4 linked regions of the Oryzias latipes genome follow. The protein of the gene in region 3 interacts with the protein of the main gene of each other region in a biochemical or structural test. Links are inferred from orthologs where the notes say so. Each region holds a gene or a part of one and is shown on either strand. Other genes may lie near its edges.

Region 1 (7,626 bases), on a different chromosome or scaffold from region 3:
AAATCCAGCTGCAGCGATTGGATAAAAACTAGCCTTTTTGTTTGTTTACGGACTAAAAGATAACCTTCACATCCTAAAGCAGAGATCTGGGCATTGAAACCCTGTCCTTTATGGACCAAAAGTAGTTTGCTCCTCTTAAATAAGCCCTTCCTCTGGACCGGAGAGTTAACAGCAGTATAGTCGTCCTTCCTCACTCATCACAACAGCCGTGGATTGTACACAGCCTATTGCAGGGTTAGCCACGCCCACCGAACCTCTGATAATCTATTTAAAGCCCCTCCAGGCCCTTCCTGTCCTTTCATAAAAATATTCACAAAGTATTTACACTCGATGTTCTCGGATTTGTGCCTTTGATCGCAGGTTTGATGCGTCGATGTAACCCTGAAGATTTACCCAGAAAGCACTTGTGCATCGCTGAAGATTGTCCCACTGCGAGATTGTTCGGACGAGCCCAAATCGAGCACTTTGACCCTTTCCGTCTTCGCCATACGGAGATAAAAGACGCCCCCGTTCATCCGCAGGAGGAGGAGTTTTCACTTCTATCTCCTCTGACGGCCGGATGTCGGCGCCTTTTTTTTCTCCGCCTGCAGTAGATTGCTTATATTTGATGATAATTTCATTGTATACGCTGATGTGTCAAATGTCTAAATTCTCAGTCAAGTGGGCTTTTTTTTTTTTTAAAAAACATCACAGTCAAATACAAAGAAAGACAAAAATGTTTTAAAAGAAATGAGCGAGTTCAAAGATGGAGACCCGTTCAGCCCGGTCTTAGTGTTCCCATTCCTCTCGTATTTGAGTGGGTCGACCCCTCCTCTTGTGTAGATGCCCCCGTGGTTTCTGTCCTCCTCCGAGTCCTTCATCACAACAGTCTTCCTCTCCATCCTTACTCAGTGCGGTGGCTCTCGTGGTGGCTGTACTCTCCTTCCGCCTCCGGGTGGCTGAAGAGGTAGTTCCACCAGCTCGTGGAGTGGAGCATCTGTTTGGCCGCCCCAGTGCTCCTCACCTTCCTCATCTCCTGCACAAGGCAGATGTCACGTTCAAATCCGGGAAGCGACTCTCGTCTGCCGCCCCGCCCCCTCGCCACCCGCTCTTACCCCTTTATCCAGCAGGCTGTCAAACTCGTCGCTCATCCGTCGGAGCTGCTGACCGTACTTTTTGGCGGCCCACAGAGCCGGAGGGGCCGACTTGGATCTGCCCCTGAAGGCCAACCCATCAGTGGGGGTTCCGGCCTCGTCTTCCCGCGCGAGGTCCTCATCTCTGGAGTACGTGGAAGCGGTGGACTCTGAATTCAGCCTGGTACGCCCGTTACCTTTATGACAGGTAAGGACAAAATGTTAACGAACGTTGAAAAAGTACGGGTAACCTGGGAGACCTGAAGACAGAGGAAACACCCCTTCAAGGGTTCTGCTGTGTCTGAATTGCCACTTATGAGGGGAATCTACAATCCCAAAATGCATTGGGAGTTAGGCAGCAGTGAGGGAATTCGGCCTCATTTTCCCCTTTTTATGTTGCCTGTTAGTTTATAAAAAATGTAAAAAATAAAGTTTTGGTCAAATATAATGATGCTGCGCCATGAAACGTACGAGCTAAAAACATAAGGAAAATAACAATCAGACAAATAGTATCTGATGCCACGTTTGCCACGTCCCGTGAGGCTCCACTGATTCGTGCGCAAACACAGACAACCCGGTTCTGTTCCATTTTAAATCATTTCAAAAACTGTTAAATAGTGACTTTTTCTGCAGTTACTAGTCACTTTGTTGATTGTAGGCTACAGCTGCAGATGCTGACGGCTCCATCCTCAGAAGACTCCAACCAGAGGCCGTTGAACCCTTTAACGCCGCTGCTTTAGCTCTTTCGACGACCGTAATTCATTAAGCAGTCGCACAATTGACGTCACTTCAGCTGTTTCCGATGCATAGAAAAGCAGCCGTGCGAAACTTTACAGTAGTGAGCTGCTGATCGGTGCAAAGCTGCCTTTTTCTGCGTCAGAATCCGCAGTTTGAGCTGAATCGTGTGGACAGTCCAGAGAGTCTCACTGTCGACAGTTTCCATGCAGCAGCAGCTTCCAAAACAAAACAAGTCAAACTCTTTCTACTCAACTTGAGATTTAACGTTTTTGGGGTCGTGATCCCACTCTGTTACGCGGCTCATCTATCGCTGTCTCACTGTTTCGTGGATCTTTGTAGTGCAATTCAGTATGTGTATTGTTTTATACAGCACACTGCGTTCTGATTGGCTGTAGACCTTGTGGATCTCATTTGTGCCACAGTTACATCTTTGTTTTCATTCTATAATATTGGACTTATTTTCTACGAAGGCTTGAGATTTGAGAGTTAAAAAAAAGAGAGAAAAGTCTGGATATGAAAAGAATCAAACTTTATCGATATTTAGAATGTAACTCCATGATAAACAAGAAAACACTGTACTGACTGCACACAATCTCTGATTGTGTTCACATTTAGGTGAGACAGTGATTACCTTACCACTAGGAAAAGTTTTGTTCCCTTTTTGTTCTTCCAGCAGGTATTAGTTTCTCCTTCAGCGTCTATTTCTTTTTGTGTCATCTAAATGGCACTACAATTTAAACTGCATATTTATATTTCATAAATATAAAAAAAACAACAACAACGCTTTATTAAAGACAATGTTTATCCTTGAGAAAATTATCCATCCCCTATCAATGACAGCTTTTTCTATATGGGGTCCTAACAAAAACTGAAGTACAAGCCATTCACTGTATAGTGAGGAAATACCGTCCATCCAGCTCCAATGAAACAAAGTCAATGTCGTCGCCAAAATGTTGGCAATGCGTGGGACAATGTTAGTAAACTCTGATTGGTCTGAGTCAAAGTTTCTATGGAAACCACTCACCAATCAGGAGAGAGCTTGTTAAAGGTCTACAGCCCTATCATTTGGGAGAATCAGTCAGTGAAATGTTTGACATGAAACCACATGCTTTTATTGAGGCATCTGAAGGCTCAGATTATAACTGAAATAATTTGCACTATAGAAAAAAATATAATTATTAAAAAAAAGGATCATATAGAGTCAGCAATAGTTGATTATTTCGCAATAGAAGTCTATAAGACTTTGTCTTCTTGGAGCCAGCAGGGATTTCCTGTTTGGAACGTGAGGTGGGAGGGGTCGCTCAGTCCAGTTCTTGCATACAGTGACCCTATAAAACAGCTAACCGCTCCACCTCAGGATCCCAAAAAATCCGAATCCTGCTGCCTTAAGACTGGAATTTTCTCAAACAACTCTTAAAAGTGCTTCTCATTTCCCATAATGCTTTTGGTCTGCTTACTTGTGAGTCGAAGCTCTGGCAGGGTGAGGGAATGTCGATCATGAAGGTGCTCCCCTTCTCCTCCTGCTGCCGCTCCCAGGTCAAGTTTTCCTCCCTCTACCTCCTCGGATGACTCCGAATCGTCTGAGATGGTGAACTTTGCTGCCATCGTAACATCTGCAGAAAAAAAGGTGTTTTGAGGACACGTTGTTCCAATAATTCACTACCAGAGAAGCTTGATGATCATTTTAAACGAAGACCATCACAAATCAAATACTATTTTTCTTTCACATTTGAAGCCGAAATGAAATAGAAATTGAGCTAGGCCCAACTTTCCACTCCTAGAGTCATAAAATGTCTATTAGCTAAATGAATTATGTGTCTACCTGTAACACACCCAGCTGCCTATCAGTGGTTGAGTCCAAAGGTATTAAAAAAATAACAACTCCACGAGATAAGGACACAACTTTGACAGCACGCGCTTCGTTAAGATGTTATAACGTACTTTGTTTTTCGTAGTTCAACGCGCTCGCGAGCTGTGCTCTTCGTCGACACACTGCCTCGTTTGTTTTGTGTTGTTGTTGACCGAAGAGCAAGAGGACAAAAGAAACTTCATACAGGGCGGAAGCGGTCCCCTCCACCTTCCGCGCAGCTAAAGAGAACCTCCTGGAAGTAGTTTTTCTCACCCGAAATCTCTGCGGCGTCCGCTCCGGAGGTGGGAAAGAGTCTCCGAAGTTAGCTTCGAGCGGCAGAAACTGCTTGTTGTTAATGTTTTGGTGTTCTCTGCCCGCGGCACATTACACCCCTGCTCCGCTTTCGCCCAATCGCCGCGCGCCCCTGCACTTTCGCAGCGCGCTGACGTCACTGTTGCGAGCTAGGACTTGTTTGTCTGGTCTGGTTACCGTAATGACCAGAGAAGAAGCGCAGAACCAAAAAGCTCCTCATTTTCACCCCTCCCCCTTTTTTTCTGCCAAAACTCACGACGTCACAAGTTGAGTGCTGGCACTACTCGAGTCGCAGATTCTGTCTTCGGAGAGGAATAAAACAGGGGTGTACTGTCTCTGTATACCTGTTTCTTCTGGTTGCACACGTTTTCTGCAGATAAATAAAATTGAGAATATTGATGGGATTTCTATTGCTGGTAAAAACATTCTTGTAAGTCAACTGGCAGATGAATCATTATTCTTAAACTCCTCACAGGTTTCTTCAAGTTATAGAAACATTTTCAAAAGCATCAGGACCTATCTAAACCTAAAGAAATGTGAGTTATTTCCTCTTAAACAATGTGCTCTAACATCCATAAATAGTATAGTAGTCAAAGAAAAAGTCACATATTTGGGATTGCAGATAACTAAAGAACAAAAACAAAGAGAACTGAATAACTATAATCCTATGATTGCAAAAGCACAAAATAAGTTTAATCGCTGGCTACAAAAAGGTCACGTCCTCTTAGCAAAAGCAGAAGGAATTTCCAGACTAGTCTACATTGTTTCCTCACTATCTCTGGACAGTTGTTTCACTTTCGGCTTGTCCCATCAGGGGTCGCCACAGCGAATCAGCCACTTCACAGTGGAAGATTCGCATGGTAGTCTTGGCAATGTTTTACGCCGGATGCCCTTCCTGACGCAACCCTCTCAAAGCAACCGGGCTTGGGACAGGTACAGAAGTAGAGAAGGGAAGAGGGTAAAAATGCAAAAAGGATTGATCAGATACTTTTTAACTTCCTTTGGAGAAATAGAATCCACTATGTACGATAATCAGTAGTAATTAATTCATCAAAAGACGGAGGACTTGACTTTCTTAACTTTTCCATTCTAAGTAATGTCATCAAAATGAAATGGTTAAAAAAACTTCTTAAAAAGTGAAACCTCATTTTAGAATTTCATATAAAAATACATATTTGATAAGCTTGGAGGTCTGCCATTTATTTTATTATGTAATTTAATAATGGAAAAAAATCCTTTAAAACTGTCTAATTTTCATAAGCAGGTTTTATTGGCATAGACTTTGATCTACAAACATAATTTTTCTACTCAGCGCTACTATATTTGGAACAATGCAGATATTCTATACAAAAACAAGAGTATTTGTCTTGAAAATTAGTTTGAAAAGAACATTTCTCTTGTGACACAGCTGATTAATCCACAAGGTAACCTGATGTCATACATTGAGTTTCTGTCCACCAATAGTCTGCATGTTTCACCTGCAGAGTTTGCATTGGTTACTGGAGCCATTCCAGGGGGTGTTAGACTTCTGTGTAGCAGTTCTCCTTCAAATACTCCATTTTCTCCTCCCAAATTAACAGAATTGTGGTGTTTTTCAGCTGGCAGGAATAATCAAAGTATCCGTTCTCTGTTTTAAAATGAGATTGCGACAAAACCGCATGTTATCTCATACTGGAATAGGTTTGGCTGTAGAATGCAGTGGGAAAAGTTTTCCATGCCCCAAAATGTTATCACCAATGAAATTAAAGAAATTTCTTTTAAAATTCTTCATAAATTTTATCCAGTGAAACATTTCTTTACTAAATTTAGAAAAGATCGGGACATAAACTGTTCATTTTGTCATTTCTCACCAGAAACTGTGCCTCATCTTTTTTGGTATTGCTCCTTCACTCAAGTATTTTGGAAAGATTTGATACATTTTATAAGAACTCATCTATGTGAAGATTATAGATTATTCTATGAGCATATTATTTTTGGATATTTTACACAAGGGGGATTAAATGCAGAGAAAATATATGTAGTCAATTTACTTATACTAAATATTTTATACACATGTGTAAATATGCTAACAAAACCCAGTATTTTATGTTTTCCAGAAAGAAATGGTACTGTATGTAAACAGAATCAAATCCTCCACTAACAAAAAAGCTGTTAGAACAGTTGAAACATAGTGCCTTTGAAACTTTAACAGATTCCTTTGCCTTTATTATTTTTTTTTATTTTTACTTAACCTGTTTCACATTGTTATTATTATGGTTTTTTGAATTTTTGTTCATTTTCCTGGCAAACGTGAAAATTGTTTTTTGAACACAGTGTGGAGTTTTGTATTTGGTATATTGTATGTGCAATATTTGTTAATAATTTTTTTTTTTTTTTAAAACTCACGTCACTTTGGCTAGCACTGAACCCTCATAAAACCATTAACTTAAAATTAACTACCGGTATGTAATAAAAACGTAATTACAACGACATACTTTTCATTTCTTCATGTAGAACAGAAAATAAGCTAAATACATTTTTACCCAACTTTCTGCGAATTTCATATTAAAAGACTATGAAACATTCTGTACCAGCTAGCTTGACATAGTTAGCATGACTCATGAATCTTGTAGTGCATCTAGATATTGAACTCCTTGAAAACAACCAGTTCTGGGCATATAAGGTAGACACGGATATTTATATATATTAAATATACATATTTAATTTACAGTTGACATTTTAGAAATGAGCTAGAAAGTGTCACAAAAGGGTCCCACAGATTTTTAATTGCTTTTGACATAATTTAGCCCATAAAATTTAGAAAATCGTACTCACCGTTTTTAGAAAGTGTTGCAAGACGCAAATAATTGACAAGAGCCTGTGGGCGGCGGAAATTTTAACAGAGGCCACATTTGGCCTATGGGCCAGACTTTGGACATGCCTGGTTTAGACACATTAGCAGAAACAAGTAAACTGTTTTTTTTAATTTAATATATTTTTTTCTATTGACATTATAACACAATGAAACAAACAATCTCTTACAGAGGATATTACCCTTGTACGGGTTGGACAAAAGTTAGAACAATTTGAAACTAGAGGTCAATAAACAAACAAAGTTCTTAGTACTAAGACTTGTGCGGCACACAAACTTAAGAAGATCTCTGAAGACAAATGAACCAGAGTTTTTTCCATTATCAAATTCTTGAGATGTTTGTAAACCTGTAAGACCTGTTTCTTCTCCCAGCGATAAGATTGTTTGATGAAAACTGGTATTGTGCAGTCCAAGATACCAACCACCTGAATGAGACCATGTGACCATGCAGAACAAGGGGAGTAAAACTTGTTGTCCACCTTTCGGCATATCCCATCAGGGCTTCCACAGCGAATCAGCTTTCCATGATTCGCATTGGCAGAGATTTTTTCGCTAGATGACCTTTCTGACACAACCCTACATTTTCATCGGGCTGGGGACCGGCAGAGGGAGACCCAGACTTGGGCCCCCTTGTTGCTACATAGACAGTAGTGCGAAAGGTCTTGCCCAAGGACTGAATGGTAAAACATTTTAATGAAAACACTTCTCTGGACTCTTTTCTCAAAAATGAAATGAGACGTATGCAACAACAGACGTGTTTAAAA
Region 2 (7,731 bases), on a different chromosome or scaffold from region 3:
AGTGGAGTTCAGGAGGAACCCCTCCCCCTCACAATTCTCAACAGCACTGTACCCTCCACAGACTCACACAGGTTCCTAGGGACCACCACTCTGGAAAAAGGCTCAGCAGAGGTTGTTCTTCCTGCAACAACTCAAGAAGTTCAACCTGCCTCAGGAGCTGCTGACCATCTTCTACACTGCAATAATCCAATCTGTCCTGACCACATCCATCACGGTCGGGTTTGGATCAGGAACCAGACTTCAGAGAATCATCAGATCTACTGAGAGGATTATTGGTTCCACTCTTCCTCCATCAGGACCTGTACTGGTCCAGGGTCAGGAAGCGGGCTGGCAGAATTGCAGAGGACCCCTCTCATCCCGGACATTACCTTTTCAGCATTCTCCCGTCAGGGCGGCGTTTTAGGACAACGTGCACCAAAACCACTCGCCACAAGGACAGCTTCTTCCCCCGAGCTGTCACTCTAATGAACTCCTGACAACAGACCACTCAAGAACACGGAACAAAACCACAGAAACTGTCACACCAGAACTACTGCTACATTTTTACTGTTGCATTTATTTATTTAGTTATGTTTAAATATTCCTACGTCTACCTCATAGTACTTTATTTTTATCATTTATCCTCTCCTGTCTTACTCCTTTAAATTTTTTTCATATCTTTCTAGTTTGGGCGAGAGCACAAGACACCGAAGCCAAAGTCCTTGTACAGCACTGCACTTGGCCAATAAAGCTGATTCTGATTCTGAAATCCCGGTTTGCAGCAGATGCTGATGAGCCGTTTAAGGTCACGTGTCCTTAGAGCAGCAGGAGGCTCAACAGTTTCTGTCTGAACTTCCAGAAAGAAAACCTTCACCTTCAGCAAAAACTAACACTTTCATCCATTTCAGGAAATCTGCACCAACATGCATGCAGGTGTCCATGCAAAAGGTCACCTCAGGGATGTTGAGATAAAACATTTTCAGACACACAGCGTCTCTCAGAGGAGTAAACACCACAGATCAAACATCTCGTGTGTTGGCTGCTCCAGTCTGACAGATTGGAGTGGGACTACAGCGATGGTTCTGGGCCTCAGCTGGTCCAGGAAGCCTACACACTGGAACCGGCTGTGTCCATGTATGGCTGCAGAACCACATTTAACCAGTGCAGAAGCAGAAGCAAACACTGGCTTGGCATTAGCCCAGCCTTAGGGTGAACCTATTTTCAGCAGCAACATGAAAACAGATCTCCACATATGTTGACTCAGCAGACCACGTGGCCTGCTGCAACCCATAGTCTAGGTTGTGGCACCACCTACTGGCCAAATGTAAAAATGACAATCTGCCAAGAGAAAACAGTTCAATGACCTTGTTGCTGGGATCCAGCTTCAGTGCTTTCCTCAGGGTCTGAATAGCTTCTGTGTATTCACCTTTCAAAGAGAGAACCTAGAGGAAAGAACAACCATTTAGCAGACATTCAGCAGCAGCAAGAAGCTCCGGGACTGAGGCCAACCTTGCCCATGCGAAAAAGTGCCTTTATGTTGTCTGGCTGATGCTCAAGAGCTGAAACGCAAGACTTCAGAGCAGCATCGTAATGGTCCAGCTTCAGCTGAGAGGCGGCCATGTTGTTCAGACACTTCACTCTCACATCCAGCAGCTCGTCCTCCTCCTCCGGCCGGATGTCCACTGTCCCACAAAACACAACGACAATATCAAACTTCCTTCTTTTTATATGTATTATTATTATTATTTTGTATTGCTTCACATGTTTGAAATAAATCTCAATCTAAGATCAGAGCAAAAAAGCTAAAAAGATCCACTGAAGACTCATTCACATCTGCAGGGCTTTGATTTTCACGTCATTGTTTGGTTTAAAGTTGCAGTTACTGATCAGTCACCGCAAGATGATCAGGGGGAGGAGCTTTCATTGCCGGGAAAGCGGGACGGCGTCATGAAGGTCTCACCTTTGGAACTGGACTCTGCTATCTGCAGGGCGATGCTGTAGGAGTTGACTGCAAACGCATAGTCTCCACGCTGGTAATGGACGTTGCCCCTCTCTCGTTTACGACTGGCGAGGGCAATCTTTTCTGCGGGGGGCAGCAGCTCCACATCGGGGGCATCAGTGGCCTCCAGGAGTTCCACTTCCAAGGACAGCTGAGCGTTTGGAGGAACACGAGGTTCAAGACTGACACGAGAAAAAAAAAAACAGGCAGGTTTAGTGACTGAAGCAAAAACAGCAGCGCCCCCCCCCCCCAACAAAAAAAAAAGGATGGCATAGTCAGTCTGTTTCTGTGAATCTCCAGGGATCCATACAGTTTATTTCCCAGTGATTCCTTTCCTTTACCCCCATGTCAGGAAAAGACACAGATTCTCTTGAATTAAAGACAAATGTTTGCTTTTTAAGGTCTTATTGACCCAAGTTTATGTAAATGTGAGACATGTCAAGACTTTTTTGACCACGTGTGTCAAAAAGCCCCTCCCACTTACTAAACCACCTGTGAGTAAAATAAAAAGTATTTCATTTGGAGGCTCCTCAGACTCTGGGCTCTGCTACCATCTTTCTAAAGGATGGTTAAAATTCTCTATATCACCAATTTGCAGCGTTTGATGTAGAGTAGCTTATCTCCCACCTTCCTCTGTCTCCATATGCATATTTAGGATCTGACTGGATCAGAGCCTTTTCTCCCATTTCCATAAGCTGGACCGTCAGATCCAGAGCCTGGAAGAAAAGTGTTGACTGACGTTTGACCGGAGACAAATCCACAAAACAAGACCTGCAGACGTAATTTTGAGCGTTGGGGCTAACCCTGACATATATCACCACTAAGGGTTTACCTGGATAACATCACAATCTCCCAAAGTGAAGGAGAAGTTAGGTTGCTCCTCCACCAGAGTCCCATCGATCAGGCTAGCTTTAAGGTGGATCCGTACGTTCTGACCCTTCTGAGGCCGACTGGCTCGTCCCTTCCCGGGCGCCGTGACTTTTTTCTTCAGCTGGCCATTTCCTGCAGAGAGAGAACTGTTGGCTTGTCAAGAACTACCACCAAATGCTTGTTTGGAACTCACAACTACTTCCAGAACCTGTCAGATTCAAAAGACAAATGAAGAACTGTTCTCTCTTCCAAGAAACATCAGCGGGAAGAGGCCAAACAAGTGCCAGACTCACCCAACACATCCAACCACTCATCCAGCTGAGCCGGAGCCTCTGGTTCTTCATGTGGAGACCTCTTCGCCGTCTCATCTGAACTTTTCTCCATCCCACCTCCCGCATCTTCTAAAGGAGGAGGCTCCTCATCAAAGTCCTCTTCATCCACAACCTCGAAGTCTTCTCCGCTGTCCAGCAACGACGTTTGTCCGCTCTTTCTGGCAGAAGAAGAAGCGTTTTCGCGGCCGTCTGCAGCTTCCACGGTCTCCATTCTGGAGAAGACAGTCAAACTGAGGAAGCTCGTTTTCTGTTCGCTTATCTCTGAGCTTCACAGAAAAGCTCTTCAAACAGCAGAATCTGACGTTAACGTACCGACCAGGATATCCGTTACAGTTCCCCAACATTGCATGCAGACAGTTTTACTCCAAACTTCAGAAAACCTGACGTTTCCGTGGGTTTTTAAAAAGTAACGAGGTTTCTCGGTCAAAACCTACATGCTAATGCTAGCGTTAGCTGAAGGTGGCTGGGTTAGCTAGCTATGAGCCAGCGGCTTAGCTTATTTGCATCCATCAAACTAAGAGTTTTTAGTGACACTGACATTTTGACAAAACGAAGTCGTCGATTAGAATCACTTCCAAACGAAGGAACACACACAGAAAAGTTCTTAAAATTGTAAATTAGAACGCGAACATTCACCTCCAGCCTTGTTTTGGTCCAACAGCCGCGTCCCGATCCTTCAAGCTCACGCAGGAAGTTAGACTGCGAATAGAAAAGTCTAGAGCGCACGGCGCCAACGGGAAGGGCCACAGTGGACACTCAGGCTGACTTCGTCACAGCGGTAGATCCTCGCGCATGCGCAGCAGCACTCTGCATCGCTTTAATGTTTCAAGAAGCTTTTCTCTGCTTTCAGATTAAAAGCCCCCTTAATGGTTCCATTAAAAAACACCCTGTGCTCACTCATGAAACGACGGAGAACATCCTTCACCACGAAAACGCGAACCTTTTAGAGCAGAAAGATCTGTTATGCTTTAGATCCTGATGTCACACAGTTCCAATCATTATTAAACATTTGATGAACCGAAGAACCAGACAAGTTCGCCCAAATAAGTTTCAAAGATAGAAAAACACAATAAATAATGTACTTAAACATTGTTACTAGTTAAAAACAAAAATTTGAAATGAATAAAGGAGTTTTACTGATAAATGTGTTTCACTGATTGAAGGGTGGTAAAAGAATCAGTGGCTGGCACAGAACTTTTACTTTGAAAAACAGAGAACTGCTTGTTGGTCAGTCCTGTAAATTCTTTCAGATGGTGGTGAAATGTAAAATCTCTGATGTCTTCATGTTTTCTGGTTCCTGTGAAAAAGAAGCAGCTGCATTCTGGACTGTAAACTATAAAACACATTTCAACTGATTTTGGTGTCACATAAATCCAAATGTGACCAAAGAATAGCGAAAGATGAAAACGCAAGTTTAGTCATCAAAGCTGTGAGTGATTCTTCCTGGATTTCCTCACACATTTTTACTTTTAAAGCTTAAACGATCTCTGTGTTGTTTCTGCCTCCGATGTGCTGCCGATTGGACATTTTTTAACAAGAATGTCCGGGAAACTTTGCTTATTAGCAGTTTTCACTTTAAGCAAAGGAAGAACTCGGAAGTATTTTTGGTGTCATGAGCCCAAAAGACATTTCTTTACTTCACTCTAGACCACATGTGTCAAACTTAAGGCCCAGGGGGCAAATGTGGCCTACCATGTCATTTTTTGTGGGCCGCGAGAGCATAAAAGTTTTTAGTTTTTTAGAATAAAAATACAAATTGGTTTGTATTTATTCATATCTTGGGGGAATCTGAAAATATCTGATTGGGCAACTATCCATTAGGACTTAAACACTGCCAATATAACCTAACCTGTCAGAATCAAATGTAAAAGGATTTATGCTAGAGTACCATGCAAACACATGTTTTCTATGCCGCTGTAATTGTCACTTTAAAAAGTTATAATAAATAACTAATGAGTTATTTAACATTAAAGAGTATGTACATTTATTTTTCATTACATTTAGTTACATGTATGAGTTATAGCTGGCCCCAGGACAGCCGGCACGCTGATGTGGCCCTCGCTGAAAATCAGTTTGATGCCCCTGCTTTGGACAAAGTGATCTTCTGTAAAAACATCAGCTCCTATGATTCAAGCTAACAAACTTGTATCTAAGTGGTATAAATACCCATGACTGATGTGTTCTTTCTCTAATTAAGGAATAAAACAGCTGTGTCGAGTGGAACACACCCTGCTTTCATCAAAAAGTTCCTGGTTTTAAACAGGATCTTCATGTCAGGATTTAGGAAAAGATTCAAACAGCAGAGAAAAATCAGATGATATTTATTATTGATGCATTGTTCCTGTTTGATAAGCAAATCGTTTTTTTCTTTCCGCTTAAAGAAACTTTACAATATAAAGAAACATACAAAGAACATCTTTGATACACAAGACACCTAAAACCCTAAGACAAGATTCTGGACTATCCTACCATGACATACAAAGCAAACCCAGGAAATAGACTGCTTCATATCAGAGAGGACCATGGACAGCTCCTCCTAATGGTACATTATTTTACACCACGATAGAAGTACAGAGATGGCCAAAGATCAACTTACGGCGACAGGACCAACCGGCGAGCTTCCCCAGAACTCTTACATCCAGATCTTCATTTAAAATAACATTTGTAAAAGATTTTTAAAATATCTTTTTTCTTCTAAAAGTTTTTTTTCCATGATAAAAATCCTTCATATTAAAAACTGTAATATGAGGTGACCCACGTTTGTGAGGAGATGCCCTTCAGGGAAAGAAATCTAGACTTTTCTTAAAAATTATTTTAAAAACAGCCGTCACACTAGGCGCACAGTGAGGACGCCACAGCCGGCCCGCCCCCGTCCCACCCCCCTCTCCACACAAGTCTTCATCCGTCTGCTGTACATTCAGCCAATTTAGCCTCATGACCCAAATGTTTCTTCATGGAAAACATTTATACTCTACTTCCCGCTGGACTCACCGGTTGTGACGGACATGAAAACATGTCAATGATATCAAAATGCATTTTACAGTATTTACACCAGGAGAAAAAGGGGCGGGGCTTCAGGAGGAACTGGAGGTCAGAAAGGGGGTTGCCGGAGGGATTCCCCATCAGTAAATCCTGCAGGTGTCCCTGTCGACGGTAGGTTCACATTGATATCAGGAAGCTCGCGTGTGGATCAAGCACACAAAGAGGCTACAGCTGCTGTCTGCTGACGGTTTGCTTCATTCACCAGAAGGAGCAACAGATAAGGCCAAGAGAAAAACCAGGACTTTGTCTTCACCTGGTCTGCAGATTTCACCGCCGTCAATGTAAAGTCAAAATGAACAAACATCCTCGACATTCCGACGTAAAGCCTTTCACGTGGAATCGGTGGATGGAAGGAGCATCACTGAGAGGGGGATCTAACCTTCCACGCGGGAAATTCACATGTGACAAAGCGAAACGAAGCTCCAGGAAGGTCCATCAGCTCAGGAGAGGCAGGACGAAGGAAAGGGAACGACTGTCTGCTTGGAGTCATGAAGGCGAAAGAACTCGATTCAGAATTCACAGACTGATATGGTAAAAATAAGAATAAAACCAGCACATTCCCCGCTAAACATGTGGCATCAGCAGACATGAACAAGCCCGCTGAAGGACGTCCTCCATCTGCTTGCTGACGTCCGTCTTGAGGAGTCACTCTGGAATGCAGGACAGTGGGATCAGAAACTCAGAATCAAAATCTGTTTCCTGCAGTGGCAGGTTGATCTGGTTCCAGAGACGTGTGGGCAAATTTTTTTAGGAAGGAAAAGGAAAAACAAGCTGAGAGGAAGTTCTAGAGAGGATCTTCCAGACGGGGACGATGTAAACAGAAAAACGGAGCATTTGGCAGCGTGTCCCAACAGTACTGTTGCTGCTGAGGTCCAAAGGTGTCCTTCACACAGGAGACTACTGGAAACCACAACATCATCATCATAGAAAACATCAGAATTCTAGCGCAGTTTTTGAATAGTCCACATGGGGGCAGTGCTGAATGACTGAATGTGCCTGAACACCACCCACAACAGCCAGTTCTGGTTCTCATCCAGGCAGGGTTGGATCCTTTGACTGCTCCGTGGAGCCCATGTGAGGAAGAGGAAAAAGTCCTTCTGGAGTCATGCTTCCCACCGTTTCACAGCTGATAGGGGCTTTGAGGAGAGTCCTGCTTCCCGAGGAAACTCCAAGGAGCTGTGGAGGACACCAAACAGGGTCCACGAGGCGGCGGAGGAGGACGGGGAGGGGGGAGGGGTAATGCAAGACGCAGTGGGGCAGGAGATGAACCTCCAGGAATAAGATAAAGGGTTTAAAAAATCACACGCTCATCGTCATGTTGGGCGAATACTGCAAAAAGAGAAGAGACAAGAAAAAGATGAGACAAACATGAACAGACCACCAGTTCATTCTGAATTTGTGCTTGTTCCTGGTTCTGTTTGGTTCTGCTCCTCTCTCAGAGATTCTTTCCTTCACTTTAACTGCTTGGTGGAGAAAATCCTTCAAAGACCCGCTCTGATGAAAAATGGG
Region 3 (7,888 bases):
AAAAACAACTCTAAAGGTTTAAAAAAAACAGTCATCTTTCAACACAAACATTGGGAAATTCCCCTCAAGTTTTTGTTATCATTTTTCTGTTTTTGAGCTCTTCTCTTAACTGTAGCTTGGTAACTTGCTGTTTTTTTTTTTCTTGGAGAACCTTTTGCTGTGTGCCACCCCCACAGCCAGTCAAAACATCTCAGGTCAAGCATGTAATTTAATATCTCAGACACTTGGCTGTGTCTTTCTGCAATCACACTGTATTTAGTGCCAGTGAGTGTAAACAAACACAGGTATGGGTGAGGCTGCTCAGCTGAACGGACGGCTGCTGCTTCTGTTAGGGTTTGACGGCAGTATTGGGGCCAATGAGCAGAGAGGTAATCAGAGCAAAGATGAAATCATTTCATCCTCAGCTGGGGTTTGCATTCACAACAGGAGCTTTGTGACTTCCAGAGAGCAGGTTTTGTGTAACTGAATGTCTACTTGAGTCACCCATGATGTGTAGACTCAACAGCAATTAGTGGGTGAAGCTATTCTGGGCTCAAATTGTCTTAAAAAACAACAGGAAGTGGAGACTGAAGAAATGATAGAGATCTGTTATCAAATACATCAGTGATACCTTGATTAGTACCCACCGGTGTTTTGTATTGTGGAAAAGCCAACACTCAGCTGAGTCACACAATAACACCATGGACAGTGTAAGTGACCATAAGTACCACCTGTCAAAAGAGAACATTAAACCTCGTTTACAGAGTTTCTCTACTGTTGGTCAGAAGGGTGATCTAAAAAAAGGGAAAGCAACCAAAACACCTTGAAAATGGGTTTCCACCATTGACTGTTTATTAGAAGTGGACTAAGTGGCCCAAACAGGAAGTACCCACCGCCTCCAAGAAGCCAAAGTCCCATAGACTTCTATAAAGAAATAAACAGCTATACTTCATTATACTATATTTGTTAGAATAACTAATCTTCCTCTGGTGCTTTTTGTTCTTGATAATCATGATTCTTTTCAGGTTGTTTTTTTTTCGTAGTGCAATTTATTCAAGTTATAAACTGACCAATGAAATGCCTCAATAGAAGCATGTCGTCTCACATCAAACGTTTGAAGTGTTTGATTGACAGATTCTCCAGAGCCCGCTTCTAAGAAGTGGGGTTGTGGATCTCCAGCAAGCTCACTTCTGATTGGTAAGAGTGATTGCCATAGAATTGTCGACTTTGACCAATCACTGCTTACGGACTTACTGACATTATCTGGCTCCAACATGGTGGCATCCATATCATGAAAAGTGGCGACTGAATTGACTTAATTTCATTGAAGCTGGAAATAAGACATTTTCGTTCCAGTTCCATGTACAGTCAATGACCCCCCCCCCCCCCCCATAAATGGACATGCTCAGCCAATCCCACCTTTAGATTAGCTGTAAGCACATAAGCTTGGCCACTACCCTCTCAAAGCTTTTACATTAAAACAGATTGGATTCCAGATTATTTCCGTGCACTGAGGTCACAAACTTTAAAATCAGGCCAAAAACTGCATCATGGGAAGAGCTGTGAGCTCAAGTTATTGAAGAGGTGTGTTGCAATGTCCATCAGTGACAGACGGTAACACAACTACCTTTTGTTTAATGATCTATTTTGAGGAACATTTTATATGTTTTCTGAAATTGAAATTGATGGGTTTTTGAGACAAAAGGTCAAATAGATAAGACTGAAGGCACTGAAACTAACAATTTCCTGGATAAGGAAACCCAATCTGATTAACCAAGAAATGGGTAAAATGAAGATAAATAATAGTTTAAGTATATGTTATAACTAATCTCAGATGAGGGTCCAAACCGACATGTTAACAACAGCCATTGTAAGAGAAAGCTAACAAGAGGAAAGTTAAGTCAGTTTCATTCTGCATGGTCAGGTTTTCACTGGTGAAATATTTTGTTTAGTAAAGATTTTCCTTCAAGCATACAATTAATCAAAGAGACTGTATCTAAGGTAAATAGAAAATATTGCTTTTAGTGAACTTTTTTTGACTGAATCAGAGAAAACTCAAATTCTAGTATTGACAAAAACGTGATTTGGTATTCCACAGCTCAGGGGGGAATCTGACCGAGATCGACCATTCACGCAAAGTTCACAGTGTAACACCCCCCCCCCCCACACACACACACACACCCCTGAGAAAACTACCGTTCAAGCAACTTTGATTCAAATTCAAAAATTAGACTAGGTTAACAAAAACAAATCCATAGCGGTGTCTCAGTTATTAAACGTCGTGTAATGACGGAAACCAGCTCATCGGGGGAACTCCCTTCCCGACAACTATTCAAATGAATTAATATCAACATCTTCGCTGAAAATAGTTTTTGTTTTTTGGTTCCTCCAGAGCAGAAATCCATCAAACATTCACCCTTATGCAAACCCCCAAAATGATCATTTGTATACCAGGCCTGTGCTTTCCCCTTTTTATTCTCTCCAGTGGATGCAGAGATGCAGTCATCTCCACCCAGCTGTAAAACACAGACTATGATGACCTACATTGTAGCACACTGGCCACAGGCTCCAGGGAGCTTGTTCCAGCATCTATGCAGCCCAGTCTCCTCCAAGCTTTAAAACACAAGTCTGCAAAATCAGACGCAGAATTCGAGCCTGCATGCTCAACAGATGACTGCATGTTAACCACAGTGGCTCTAGATTAGCACTCTGTGTTCCTGCAGGGCCCTCCCTTTGTTGCTTCCCTTTGATATGTGGCACGAGCTGCCAACTCTGGGGGCAAGTCAGACTCAAGGGGAATGCTAAACGGTCCTATCCTTTGAGATGAAGGATTCCATATGAATCATTGATGTCCCTCCTACCTCTCCAAACATGCACGCACATCCCATTATGACACCTTCCAGCTAAGATGCTGCATAAATGTAATGAGAACCCTCTGCTGATTAAAGGCTAATTTATGGGCCGACATCTTCTGCACTCACATTAAATGTAAAATAGAGCTCAGGACAAGTATTTAAAAGTAAAGAATTATACATTTCAACTCATGCTGGGGCGTCCATTCATCTTTAGGACCCATTGAATCCCTCTTTGGGGTCACAACACTGCTGTTAGTGACCCTGAACAGCTCGCCAGTATTTTGCAGGGCCACATACATACTTACATGCACACCTAAGGGCAATTTAGAGCCAGCAATTAAACTATGAATGGATTATGTGCCCAGAGAAAACCCTTGCATGCATGAGGAGAACCTACAACGTACAGCAATGTCCCAGTTGGGATTCAAACCTCCTTGCTGTGAGGCCAAAGTGCTAACCACAGCACCACCGTGCAAGAAGATATTTATATCTGATGCTAAATATTTTAACTATAAATCAAATGTATTTAAAATGGTACTCAGGCTTTGAGTTTCTTTCTTCTTCTTACTTGAATGAATGTTTCAATAATACCTTTTACTTCTACTTGGGTGTTGTTATTTAGAATTGAAGCAACTTAAATGAAGTTTTTGGATATTCAAACCTATAAACTGCTCTTTTTTTGCCAAATAATCCTAATCTGCACATCAAAAAAAGCAGTTTTAAACATATTTCCAGCAAAAAGATCTATTTTAAAAGAAAAGAGTGCGATATTCTGTCTGTTTTCTAGCAAATGTTTTGATAATATCTTCGACTTTACTAAAGTGAAGTGTTTAAGGGGGCACTTCCAATACATCTGTCTGCCTCCACATTTCTGCTCTGCTAACAGGGCGGGACTTTTAATCAGAGCGCGGAGGTGTGACACAACACCTGTGCTCCGATTGGACACATGACTTTAACAGCCAACGCCTTCGTCCAATCGGAGCGGCTCACCGGGGGGGTTGTCCATCCTGAAAGCTTGCGCAGTCGTGCGTCACTTTGAGCACATCCAGAGCAGATTTTTCCAAGACTTCACGTGTATTTTTTCATTGCAGAAAGACAAATCAGAGCCCAGCATTGGTGATTAGTCAAATATGAAGGTTGTGTGTCATGAAATCAACACTTTACATCAATGGAGTTGGGTCCAAAGAGGACCTTTGCCCCCCCCCATGGCGCACAGCTGCAAAGCGCGGAGTCGAACCTACCCATCCCCCGTTTTCTTCAATCCAGCTGTTGAGAGGTCCGTTTAAATACTCCGTCATCCACTCGGCGATGCTGGCCACCTGCGTGCTCATCTCCTCGTTGGACGCGCACTCCACGCACACCGTGCCCCCGAACTCGAAGAACGCGATAATCCGGCCCCAGTTCACGCCGTCCCGGAACAGTTCGTCAATCACCTCGGCGAACCTCGTCTTCGCCGTGGTGGAGGTGAGGTACAGCTGCCGCGACATCTCCGTGAAGTCCCGCTGGTACAGCCGCTCCAGCTCGTCTCCCGCCTCGCGCAGGACCCTGTGGATGTCCGCGAGCGGGTCCGCCCGGGAGAGCGCTCTGATGAGGCGGGGGCTGCTCTCCTCGTCAGGCCCCGTTCCTGCGTCGCAGCGGCGGCGGACCGGAGTCGGGGAATGGTCCCCAACCGAGCCGTTATTGGCAGCATTCTCGCGCTGGCCGCCGTTCAGCCCACACACGTAGCCCCTCTTGGAGAGTTTGTGGCAGATGTACTTTTCTACAATACTGCGATTAGACACGTTCGCCATTCCTGCGTAATTTGGCACAGTGGACAGTCACTGATCCCACTAAATAATCTGCATTTTCATCCACATCGTGCCGCTCATGACGCACAGAACAAGCGTCTCCCCCCCCCCAAAATAAAAAAAAACTAGGTTGAGATCTGCAACTAATTATCCCACGCAGCGCAAATACTTGGTAAACGGTGGAAACCCCCTGAACGGAACTGCGCAGACGCGCTAGTGGAAGTCAGAGAAATCCCGGGTCCGAATCAGCAGCAATCTTCATCTTTTTTCGAACCTTTGCAGGGGAAAACTGTCGAAATTTTCTTTCCAAATAAATCCAAAAACGCGGAAGAGGCAGTAATGTTGTTCCAATTCCGCGCGCATCCCCGTGCGTGGCGAAAAAAAATGAATGAAAGGCAAACTTCTGCGCGCCAAAACGAAACCGCTGGTTTCGCAGAGCCACGGAACAAGTAAGTCGGACAAGGTCCGATCACGACTGCTCCCGAAATCCGCCTCCTCCTCCTCTTCCTCCTCACGCGCAGCGCAGCGCAGCCAGGCTCTGCTGGTGAGGTATCCCTGACGTCAGTGAACCCGTGGTTCCGCTCAGATCCTCAGAGCGCGCTAAAACTAACGCACCTCATCAATCACAGGCGCCTATTCTCACGGATATTTTTTTAAAGGTCTTTGTGGTCCAACTAAAACATAAATCATCTAATCGTAAAAGACGTAGGGAGAAACCTCCTGCTAGTTGTCCATGAGGTTCAATCACCCCCTTGTGGAGGAAAATCCAACAGAGCAGAACAAATGACAAAAAGTCAGGACATTTGTGTTTATATCAATTGTAAAATTGACTTTTAATTCATTCCCTATATTTAATTTATCAAAAACTGCAGAAATATGTTCTTTTTGGAAACATTTCTTTTGAAAAAAACAAAAAAAAAATGCTTGTTTCTCAAAAATGTGGCAACATTTAAATGGGACAGGCTTTCAAACTCTTTATAACTGTTGCAAAGATTCATGTATCAATGCAGACTTACTTTTTGTGCTTTGCTGGATTCCTGACATTTCCTTTGGTTCCATCTATAATCTGCTTTTCTTATCAATTTTCTTAAAGTTTTGGGAAAAGCTTTTTTGCCATCATTCCCAAAATCTCCTTAAATCAGGGGTGTCCAAACTTTAACATTAAATCCAATGAACAATTTAAAGAAAACAATGGGATTAACCATTTCTTCACTTATTAAAGAAATAAATCTAAATACATTTCAACCCAAATTACTGTGAAATTCATATTTGAAGACCAGACATAAAAGAAAGTGTCTGTATGAAAAATACATTATTAAACCTGTTGTTTATATGTTTCATATTGTTCATGATGCTGACTAAACTTTTACATTTAAATGACCTGAACAGGAAAATAACAAATAGTTATATAGTTATACTTTTCAGAAGTACAAACCATTGTGGTTTGGATGACAGAAACAAACTGTTCCTCACGTCTGGCCCTTAAGCCTCTGAAGGTCAAGTAGCCACAGGTTGTTGCTTCTTATGACCTAATTTAACCAATCACAATCAAGAAATCATACACGGCGTTCTTAGAAAGTGGTGGAGGTCGCATAATATTGATTTGGCACTGGTGGAAATTTGACATGTACAGGCTGAGAACGGAGGAGAACGTCACTTTTAACTGCACCTGTTTTACATAAGCTGTTATTTTTTTATTAATTTTATGTTTTAAATGTTTATATTTTTATTGTAAATGTAACTTTTTGTTTCCTCCTAGCCAGGACTCCCTTGAAAAAGAGATTCTTAATCTCAATGGGACATTTCCTGGTTAAATAAAGGTGAAATAAAAAAAAGAATAAATAAATGTCCAAAGTCATAGTCCGGACTTTGGACATGCCTGCCTTAGGGAGACACACAAACACCCCAAATTCTTTGTTTTTGACAAAAACTCGTCCAAAACAAAATATTTTTCTTACAGGTGTTTATTGTTTTTCTCATGTAAGAAAATATGACAAAACATCTCACATTTCAAATATTCTTTGAATGGCACAGAAGGTGAAGGTGGCATTTTTTTAGGCAGAATTATTTAAAAAAAAAAAAGTAAGGAATCAAACAAATGAGTGCAATGGGATGTTCAACCTTTTTAAAACTTTCTAGGAATGAATCCAAAACACAAAACGGGGAAAACGATAGAACGGCTGCAGAAGGGTTTTTCTTTTTCTTTCCCCAAAGCTAATTCTAAGCTAAAGTTGCATAGCTTAAAGGTGCTCAAACCAAAACAGCTTTTCTTTCCATGAGCTACATCTTTAAACTGTTGGCTGCTACTTCAAACCTGAAAACAAATGAACCATGAACAATGATCAAGCGCAGAAACGATTGGCCTTCACCAATATCAAATGAGAACATCATCAAAACACGAGTCATTCATTCTCACTCTCATTTCTTGGAATTAAGGAAGGATCACGTCGCCATACAAATAAAATACATCGAATTTCACATGAAAAAAATCCACGTCAGCTGGCACTGTTCTGTTAACAGTTTCACACCCAAAGCTTTTGTGAGTTTAAGGCTTAGAATGTGACCTGCTCCACCATCTTTAAGGACTTTGAACGAAGAAGAAATGGCATCCAGAAGTCTTAGGTTAAATGCATTTTTTTCTCCTGACATCTTCAAGATTTTGAATTTTCAAACATTAGTGTTTTCGAAAAAATACTATTTCTGTGTGGTGTGCTTTGCATTCAAGTACATTCTCTCAGTTTTACTAAACCAAAGGGAGACTTGCGAGAGTCGTTTTTACTGATTCTAACTGGAAATGAAAAACTGTAGACAGATTTCATGGTAAATAAAAAAGGAATTGTTTAAGGAATTTTCAAATTTCCTGCTACTTTTGACAGCAGCTCAAAACCTTCAGAGAAGAAGACCACATAGATTGATCCCAGTGACATTTTGGTCTCAATGTAAAGCTCATCTCTAGCGCCCTCAGTAGACCAGACTAAGAAAAACAAGACTTGAACCTGCAAGTCTAAACCATTTCTGAATGGAATTTCTTATCAAAGTGTGTGAATTTGTAAATCAACCCAGCTGATTTAAAAGCTCATTTTCTGGTTTTATAAATGGACAGAAAAGGAACTAAACTTGTGCAGTTAAAACACAGTTATGCTGGGTTTTTCTCCTCATTCGGTGATGTCAGCTCAAAGAACCCGCTTTCCTTTAAAGCTGCGATAAAGAGGAAAAAAAACAAAAAGTTTGGTGATTTGTTGTTTGTTTTTTACCAGATTTTGACGG
Region 4 (7,878 bases), on a different chromosome or scaffold from region 3:
TCAACACAGGAACACACACCAGTAAATGTCAATGAGTGCACATGAGAACTTGACTGAGACTGTGATTTCACCCATAGAAAAAGGTTTATTTCCTGCTCCAGTGAAATGACGCCAATTCAGTTACCTTTTTTTGCTATATGGACGTCGCCATGTTGGAACCAGTCATCAGAAAATATTGTGAAAAAAAAAATGGATTAGCAAGATGTTTAAAAAAAAGGTAACAGAGCAAGACTAGTTATTTTGACAAGTAGTATGACTGAGTAGCTGTTTATTTTTCTATAGAAACCTATGGGATTTTGGGTTCTTTGAACCAGAGGGTACTTCCTGTTTGGAATTTTAGGGGGTCACTCAGTCCAGTTCTCTTCTACATTCAATGGTAAAGGTTGAAAGTGGTAGTCGTGCCTGGGCACCGGCGTTTAAAAGAGTGAGTGAGGCCACAGGTGGCGAGCAATTAACCCACTGAATCTGGTGTGTCTTTCAATGAAAATTTCCCCAAAAAAAAAAACCAACAAACCCAAATCTCGAGAAAGACAAATCCTAAAGTCCGGCGATTTATAATTGTCAATAATAGAAAAAGAGATGTAATGCCACAGTAGTATGCTCGTCCTATCTGAGACAGAGACAAGTCCTGTCTTCGCAGAGGTGAAAACATTTGTGTAGGTGTTCTGTTATAAATAAAATATTGGCTCATGTAATTTGCAAACACACATTTTATATATATAATTCATTTCAAATTTTAAAGGCTCTGTATCATGCAAAATCTTTTGTTTTGAGCTTTTAGGTGTAATATATTATCTCATATATGGATATAGTTCACTCTGAAAGGCTTAAGAAAAGCATGATATAGGCCCTGGAAGAAACATCCCAATATTTCTCTTATTTGGGCTGTAATTAGAGCAATGTCTGTTTACAAAGACCACTAATGACAGATGGTCTTTAAACCACAGTAAACCTTAATGTTGTATTTCAAAACACTCAAATCACTCTGCTTATCGTGTAAAAACCACAAATGCACTGCAAATAAAATGTTTTTTATTTTATTCCACATTGAACTATGGCAAAATATCATCTCAGTATGTAAAAACAAAACCCCACAACAATTCTCCACACTGTAGAATACAGCTCAGTTGGAGCTTTAAAAACCATTCACAAACAGGATCTTTGAGTAAGACTGGATAATAAACAGAATATTAGCTGCTCAAAAACAATTCATGATACATGAATGATACCAGTGATCAATTCTGAAGGTTTCACCTATGGCTGGCTTCCTGCTGGCTCATATATAGGGCTGCACAACACCAAGAAAACATGCAATTTACTTCGTCTGAGCTGAAAAACAACTCAAACTAATACTCTGTCACTCATATTTGTTAGTAACATACACTTTAGACAGTGCATAACCTTAATGGACACTGAACTGAAATGTGAATTGGTTGAGATAATGATACTGATGTCAATAAAGGGATACTGTGCAGCCCTAGCTCAGTCAACAAAGAGGAAGTTTTTAAAAATGCTTTAACCCTTGTGCTATCCTATGGGGTCAAGATGACCATTGACGTGTTCTCCCTACCATGACAAAGGTGGATAAAGGTGGAGACGATTTCATGTAATCCATGGAAACCAGTGAAGATCACAAATCATTGAAGGAAAAAGTTCAGCGCACTGTCTAGTGGGGTCTAGATGACCCAACTCCCTATGTCAAAGTGCCTAGGATAGCACAAGGGTTATACAGAGCTTTGATGAAGATTTTTTCAATACTCGAGCAGCAGATCTGGCAACGATGGGGGGTATTTCCATAATTTGCCCATTGTTGCATGTAAACACTCACTATTTGGTCCATGAGCTGGCCAATCTTTTTCCATCTGAAGACAACACACTTTCCCAGAAAGTCAATAAGGAAGAGCATTTGTGGCTCTAGGTGTGTATTTAACTATTCATTCACTTTGTGATTCAGAAGTGCTCTCCTTAACGCTGCAGAATCCCTTAGGATTATTATTATTCTGTTAAAACTCTTAAAGTTTTACAGGTATTGTGCAGTGTGAGCACCAAGTCCATTGTCTTTGGCATCCAGATAAACTACTCATGTTTTTTTCACAGTTGGTCTCTTTGCATCTGGAACTCAAAACGGCAGAGTTTCCATAAAGATCTTCTCCACGATTGGTGGGGGAGGAACCAGATCTTCTAGTTTGAGGTAAAAGATGCGCTGGAAACCTTGCGTGCACAGAGTCCTGAGCTCGGGCAACTTGCCGAGAAGTCTAGACAGATAATTGGGCCGTAAGGACTCTGAACCACAGCTAGTCACATGGTCTTTCAGGCAGGTGATGAGCTGGTTCTGTAAATCCTCCACCCGTTTGGGCTCCTTCAGGCCATGTCGATCTGTTGAAAAAAGCAAGACACTGTCAAATCTCATTTTACAAAATAAACACAAATAAAAGTACTTTCCACCTCTGAGTTTATCTCATTTGTGTGCACACTGTTGTATACTGTTTTTGTACAAACACAAAGGTCACTTAGCTAACCTCTCAAAGTGCTGTTACCTTACAAGCCTTGAGTCAAAAATAAAACCTTCACTCTGTTTCTGTTTAGGTCTCCTATGCCATCTTTACTGTGCTGTACGTGAAGTTATGCTGCTCTTTGTCATGCACCTGTCACATCGGTCTCTCATGGTTATGCTGTTTAGTGTCCCTGACAAAGAAACACGTGCACACTTTTTTGACTATAGCTAGTGTTAGTGCAGAGAAGCCTGAGACCAACAAACATCTCACCTGTGATGAGGATCAGGGCTGCAAGGCAGGAGAAGGAGGAGACATCCAACTTCATGCGATGAAGGCTTTGAGAAAACTCCAGGATGGAGTCGATCCATTCCCCAAAGCCCCGGACACACTGTGTTTTATGCAGGACAGCTCCGTTGCAGAAGATGAGCTTCTCCATTTTAGGATTGGACCTTTATAAATGGTAAAAAAGTATGTGTTGTTGTTTTTTTTTCAAACATTAAGAGATAAACAGAACAGAAACCAGAGGAGAATGGCACACACCGATAGGCAAGACGCAGGATAAAGAGTTCAACGAATGCAGATTCCACCAGCAGTTCCTGATCCTCCAAGCAGAAGTCAGAGAAACCTGGGATGTCCTTCGCCCACTTTCTGATAACCTCTAAAGAAGCCGTGAGGAGGTCGTAAAACTGCTTTATGTCACTCACGTCTTCCTTCTGGTTCGCGCTGACTTCCTTCTCGAGGTACTAAGAGAACATAAAACAAATGGGAGTTTAGCTTTATTCAAAGTATACAAAAACAGAACTACAAAAAAAGAGGAACCCTGCTTTGGCTTACCTTAGAGTAATCCAGATTTCCAACAGCAGGGTTTGAGTCAATGTGGGCCCTGACCAGCGACGCAATCATGCTCACTGGGGATACAATGGGAGTGGCATCTTTGACACCTTTAGGCTTCGATGGTAAGCGACCCCTCCGTCCTTTCAGGCTATCCGTTCTAACAACTGTAGAAAAAGGTGACATCAAGTGTTAGTCTCAAATTATTCATCTTCCCTGAATCTCTCTTCTCTATATTTGCTATGAAAGCAGACTCTTGTTTAAGGAAAAGAACAGTCCAATTGAACATTTTAAAGCTTGATGTAGAATCTATCATGTTTCATTTATGCTTGATATTAATGTTGCCATTAGCTTTAGAGTTGTTATTTTCAATAATATGATAGTACAATGAGGTATTGTACTTTGCATACCTTCTCTGACCATTCCCACTGCCAGACACTTCTGGAAGCGACAGAACTGGCATCGATTTCTCCTCCTCTTGTCCACAGGGCAGTCTTTGTTGGCAAGGCAGACATACTTGGAATTTTTCTGAACTGTGCGCTGTGAAAAAGAAAACAGTAGAGGAATTAGTTATTTTACCTTTTAAATTGCTATGTTTCTATGAAGCGACTAAGCCACTATGGACTGGTTTGTCTTTTCTTACCTTGAAAAAACCCTTGCATCCCTCACAGGTGCGGACCCCATAGTGCTGACAGGAGGCATTGTCTCCACAAACAGCGCAGCCGCCCTCACTTCCACTTTTCAGCTTGGGCGATAGACTTCCATCCCGCTGTTCAGCACTGTCGAGACAAAGGGCCTGTTCCATCCCCATAGCGGGAAACTGCATCGCAGATGGGTGAGGTTGAGATGCGGCAAAGGGTTCCTGCTCTCGGAAAAGTGCCTGACCCAAATGAGACATGTCCTCCACAGAACCTGAGCCAAACATGAAAAAAGATGGAGTATGTGGCCCTGAGGTGTCCTCAGTCATCCAGTATCCTTGACCAGGGGAATATGGCCCAAAAGCTGAATCCCAGTTAGACACATTCTGACTCTGGAACCCAGGAGTCGAAGGAGAAGAGGCGGACGCGGGGCTGCCAAAGTAATCCGAGCCACTGGGAGACACAGCCTCATCTGGGTAACTCAGAGTGAACGCTCCAGGGTAGCAGCCATAAACTTGGAGCTCGTCCAGCTTGAAGGGGCTTTCCTGGCCTGACGCTGAAGGTACATGGGCAGGGGTTGTAGTGAACTGGCATGAGTACGCATCAAAAGATCCCGTAGGTGTGCCCACCAAGGAGCCGATGCTTGGCAGGGACGGAGTAGAGTGGTGCTCCAGGGAGCCACTCATGTCAACGGCCAGCCTGGAGAGAAAGTCTGCATTCTGAAGCTCAGAGCTGCTGAAACTGCTCTCAGTGGGCTGACGTCCATGTCGGGGGTGTACGCAAGTCATGACTGTGAGACTGAGAGAGAAATGAACATGTTAGCTTGGATTTTAGGTCTTCAATGAGCTTTCAAGAACAAGCTTCCACTCCAGAGTGAAATGTTATACATAATGTATACACACAGCTCAGTGGAGCAGCTTATTGTCAATCCTTAAGATCCTGATTCAATTCCTGTGTCTACCAATGGAGCATCAGTATTTGGCTTTTCAAACTTCAATTTATACAAATGTTTTACTGATATATCAAATAAAAAAACCAAGAGTACCATAATTACTGCTGCTGTCATCTTTGTATTGAAAGTATTGTTTATCACAACCCTTTGACACAGTATCTCTGTAATTTAAGTGAATATTTTTAACTTGAATTTTCATGTTTCTTCCCTGTCAACCTCCATTTATAAGAAAATCCTAGAAAGTCGTGCTTGTTTGTTGGAGCAGTCATCAAATCCCACTTTATCATTTCTCATTTCCTAGTAATTATAGTAACGCCTGAAAAGTGCAGCGGGGTTGACTTTCACTCTGGAGTACACTGCCAAAACACGCATGTGCAAAATTAAACCAGCAGACTACTAACTTCAGAAGACTTCATCGACTTTTTAAACACGTGAAGCGATTTCAAAAAACATTAAACCGCATATGTGCGTGCAGCTGTAAAAGTCAGATGATTTGTTTTCCGTTCAAAAATAAAAATAAAGCAGTTCAAATAAACACTATAGGATTGATTTACTAAGATGCTTCTTACCTGTCTAGTCCGTTAAAGTATTTTTGTGAATTTTCTCCACTTTACGAGCGACCGTCTCTCATGATCAGCGTCTCCCAGCTGACAGGTTCTCCGTCCGGCTCCTCTGGTCCTCCCCGCCTCTCTTATACTTTTGCTCTAGCGTAGCACTGTCCATGACGTCATTTTCCATGCGTGTCAAATGAGTGGGCGGGAGATTTCCATGGTGCAGCCAATCACAGCACCTTTCGAGAGAACAGCGCTTTTGTGACGCACTACGGGATTCCGTTGACGCTCGTACGCCCAGAACCGCAGCTTTGTCCGACTTGACAGACACGTGCGCACGGGCGCGCGCTACTGATATCTAGGTAAAACAGAGTAGATCTGAATAAAAGTGGGAGGTTCTATTTAGCAAGTGTTTATTAACATTGAGCAAATGGAAATACAGGGATCTAACCCCTTTAATAACAATAACTCAGTTACTTAAAAAAACGCCTAAGTTTGGGTCAATTCAATTGCAAGTAAAAGCAAGAATAGAAAGCCCTGTACAAAACATTTAAGAAATTGTTCCCTCACATTAACAATTACCATATTATGCACACAATGTAGCATTCTGTAACCACAATGTAGCATTTTGTAACCACAATTTGACATTATATGGGCACAAGAACATTTTATTAGCGTTTTGTAGCCACACAAATTAAAGTTTTGTGTGCCACAAATTAGCATTTTTTTGAGCACTTAATTAGCATTTTTGTTGCCACAAATGAGTATTTAATGCTACAAATTATTAGTGGGTATTGATACAAAAATACTAATTTGTGTGGACAAAAGGCTCAGTTCACTGTGCTAAAAAAAAAGCTAATTTCTGTCCACGAAAAATGAATTCATGCTCACAGAATAATAAACTGTTGCGACATTGCAGAGATAAACATTTTATATGGGGGAGGGGGCGACTTTAGAAGTGTGACAAATGAGAACACGGGCAAAAGAACATATCTTAAACAGTTTCCTTATTCTTACTGTTGTTAATATTAAAACAGCAGTTCTTTTAGCTGAGGTGCCATTAATAAAGCCTAAAGAATCTTTTAGGATTTCTTAATATTTGTCAACAATGATACTTATATTGAGTCAAGGATTTGGGGGGGGGGGCAAGGCTTTCTGCTGTAGGGCGTACCTGACCTCCTAAGCTCCAACCCTGCCCAAATTATTATTTTGAGGGAACAATTCTTTTTTTAGGCTCAGTACAAGAACAATCTAAATAGCCATGTCAATACTGCATAGCTTCAAACATCAAAATAACGTTAAAGTGTTGAAGCAAAAGAACCCCGACAGGATCAATAGGTTATCATTGCTGCTGTTGCAGGTTTCTGTTTGAACTAGCCTGTGCTTGCTGGATTTCAGGTTTAAGTGGCCGAATCATTTTTGGCTTCCTAGCAAACAGTAAAGGGCAGGGGGGTTGACTTTCATCCATGGCAAACGCCCCCTCTTAAATCACAAATGCTAAACAACATTTAAAACGTCTTCAGAATTTACACCCACATGCACCAAAGTTGTGGAGTTTGGGTTGTCCTGGCATTCACAAATGAACATACTGCAAATTTAGGGTAGAAACCTCTTCACGATGAGAAAGGGGCAAGCAGTGAGTCACAGCTGTGGCCTCCAGAGATGTGATTAAGGCCCTTAGACCTGATTATGTGCTGCTGTGTTTTGTGGTTTTATTTTGTAGCCTCCGGCATTAATTTGCCATCTCTTTCTCAGCATTCCGTGGGGTTCAGTTTTGTACCTGCTTTCTCGGGTTTCATCAAGTGTCTGTGAACCCTTTCCCAGCATGTCAGGGAGGACGCACTCACGTTACTTGAATGCAAACTCATGGTTACACAAACACATGCAGCAAGCTGAAAATATATTTAGGGAAATGCTGGTTATTTAAATAAAGGGAACATTTGTGCTGTGTGTCAGTGTAATCCCTTTATATACTGGTGCTTGATGTCAGCTCAAAGTCACTTAAACCTGCTGCTCCAGCTGTGTCTGCTCCATGACAAACACTTAAGCCACTTACTTGAATCTGTGCTGGAAACTTGTCTCGCAGTTATATTTTCCTCTGTGGATCTGTGATGACATGCAAGCACTGGGCCTCCCTACACCACACTGACTGATTTCACTCGTTATCTGATCAATATAATCAGAAACAGTGTCTTCCTGCCATTCACAACAGTAACTGTGACATCCGCTAGATCATTTCTTTGGGTCCCCTCTGGGCATCCTCCATGTGATATCCTTGCAGCTGCTGTCATAACTGTAACACCTGCTACTCCGTGATGCAGATTTTATTGTTTCCATTATGTGTAAGAAACCAGAATGCAACTCTTCTTGCACCGTCTTGCAGTGCCTTACCACACTGGCATTGCCAGGCT

Evidence for each region.
Region 1: the proteins of bcl2 (region 3) and bad form a complex in vitro, tested with the Homo sapiens proteins (5 studies listed by BioGRID and IntAct, with this or other methods). The link is inferred for Oryzias latipes from reciprocal best matches to the Homo sapiens genes BCL2 and BAD.
Region 2: the proteins of bcl2 (region 3) and fkbp8 form a complex in vitro, tested with the Homo sapiens proteins (4 studies listed by BioGRID, with this or other methods). The link is inferred for Oryzias latipes from reciprocal best matches to the Homo sapiens genes BCL2 and FKBP8.
Region 4: the proteins of bcl2 (region 3) and nr4a1 form a complex in vitro, tested with the Homo sapiens proteins (2 studies listed by BioGRID). The link is inferred for Oryzias latipes from reciprocal best matches to the Homo sapiens genes BCL2 and NR4A1.

The regions. Positions count from the first base shown.
Region 1 is NC_019876.2:12,864,213-12,871,838, reverse strand, and holds the start of bad (bcl2-associated agonist of cell death), read right to left. Parts: upstream 3,967-7,626; 5' UTR 3,792-3,966; intron 3,464-3,791; 5' UTR 3,456-3,463; coding exon 3,308-3,455; intron 1,310-3,307; coding exon 1,095-1,309; intron 1,016-1,094; coding exon 884-1,015; 3' UTR 1-883. UniProt on the Homo sapiens protein: Promotes cell death. Successfully competes for the binding to Bcl-X(L), Bcl-2 and Bcl-W, thereby affecting the level of heterodimerization of these proteins with BAX. Can reverse the death repressor activity of Bcl-X(L), but not that of Bcl-2.
Region 2 is NC_019862.2:8,041,092-8,048,822, forward strand, and holds the start of fkbp8 (peptidyl-prolyl cis-trans isomerase FKBP8), read right to left. Parts: upstream 3,962-7,731; 5' UTR 3,525-3,961; coding exon 3,493-3,524; intron 3,393-3,492; coding exon 3,142-3,392; intron 2,981-3,141; coding exon 2,811-2,980; intron 2,695-2,810; coding exon 2,606-2,694; intron 2,161-2,605; coding exon 1,940-2,160; intron 1,662-1,939; coding exon 1,489-1,661; intron 1,422-1,488; coding exon 1,344-1,421; intron 1-1,343. Other genes in the region: single-stranded DNA-binding protein 3, read right to left, coding at 7,522-7,551. UniProt on the Homo sapiens protein: Constitutively inactive PPiase, which becomes active when bound to calmodulin and calcium. Seems to act as a chaperone for BCL2, targets it to the mitochondria and modulates its phosphorylation state.
Region 3 is NC_019875.2:25,472,714-25,480,601, forward strand, and holds the start of bcl2 (apoptosis regulator Bcl-2), read right to left. Parts: upstream 5,149-7,888; 5' UTR 4,625-5,148; coding exon 4,076-4,624; intron 1-4,075. UniProt on the Homo sapiens protein: Suppresses apoptosis in a variety of cell systems including factor-dependent lymphohematopoietic and neural cells. Regulates cell death by controlling the mitochondrial membrane permeability. Appears to function in a feedback loop system with caspases.
Region 4 is NC_019865.2:22,177,033-22,184,910, forward strand, and holds nr4a1 (nuclear receptor subfamily 4 group A member 1), read right to left. Parts: upstream 4,753-7,878; coding exon 3,970-4,752; intron 3,867-3,969; coding exon 3,737-3,866; intron 3,494-3,736; coding exon 3,330-3,493; intron 3,239-3,329; coding exon 3,036-3,238; intron 2,945-3,035; coding exon 2,766-2,944; intron 2,377-2,765; coding exon 2,120-2,376; 3' UTR 1,016-2,119; downstream 1-1,015. UniProt on the Homo sapiens protein: Orphan nuclear receptor. Binds the NGFI-B response element (NBRE) 5'-AAAGGTCA-3'. Binds 9-cis-retinoic acid outside of its ligand-binding (NR LBD) domain.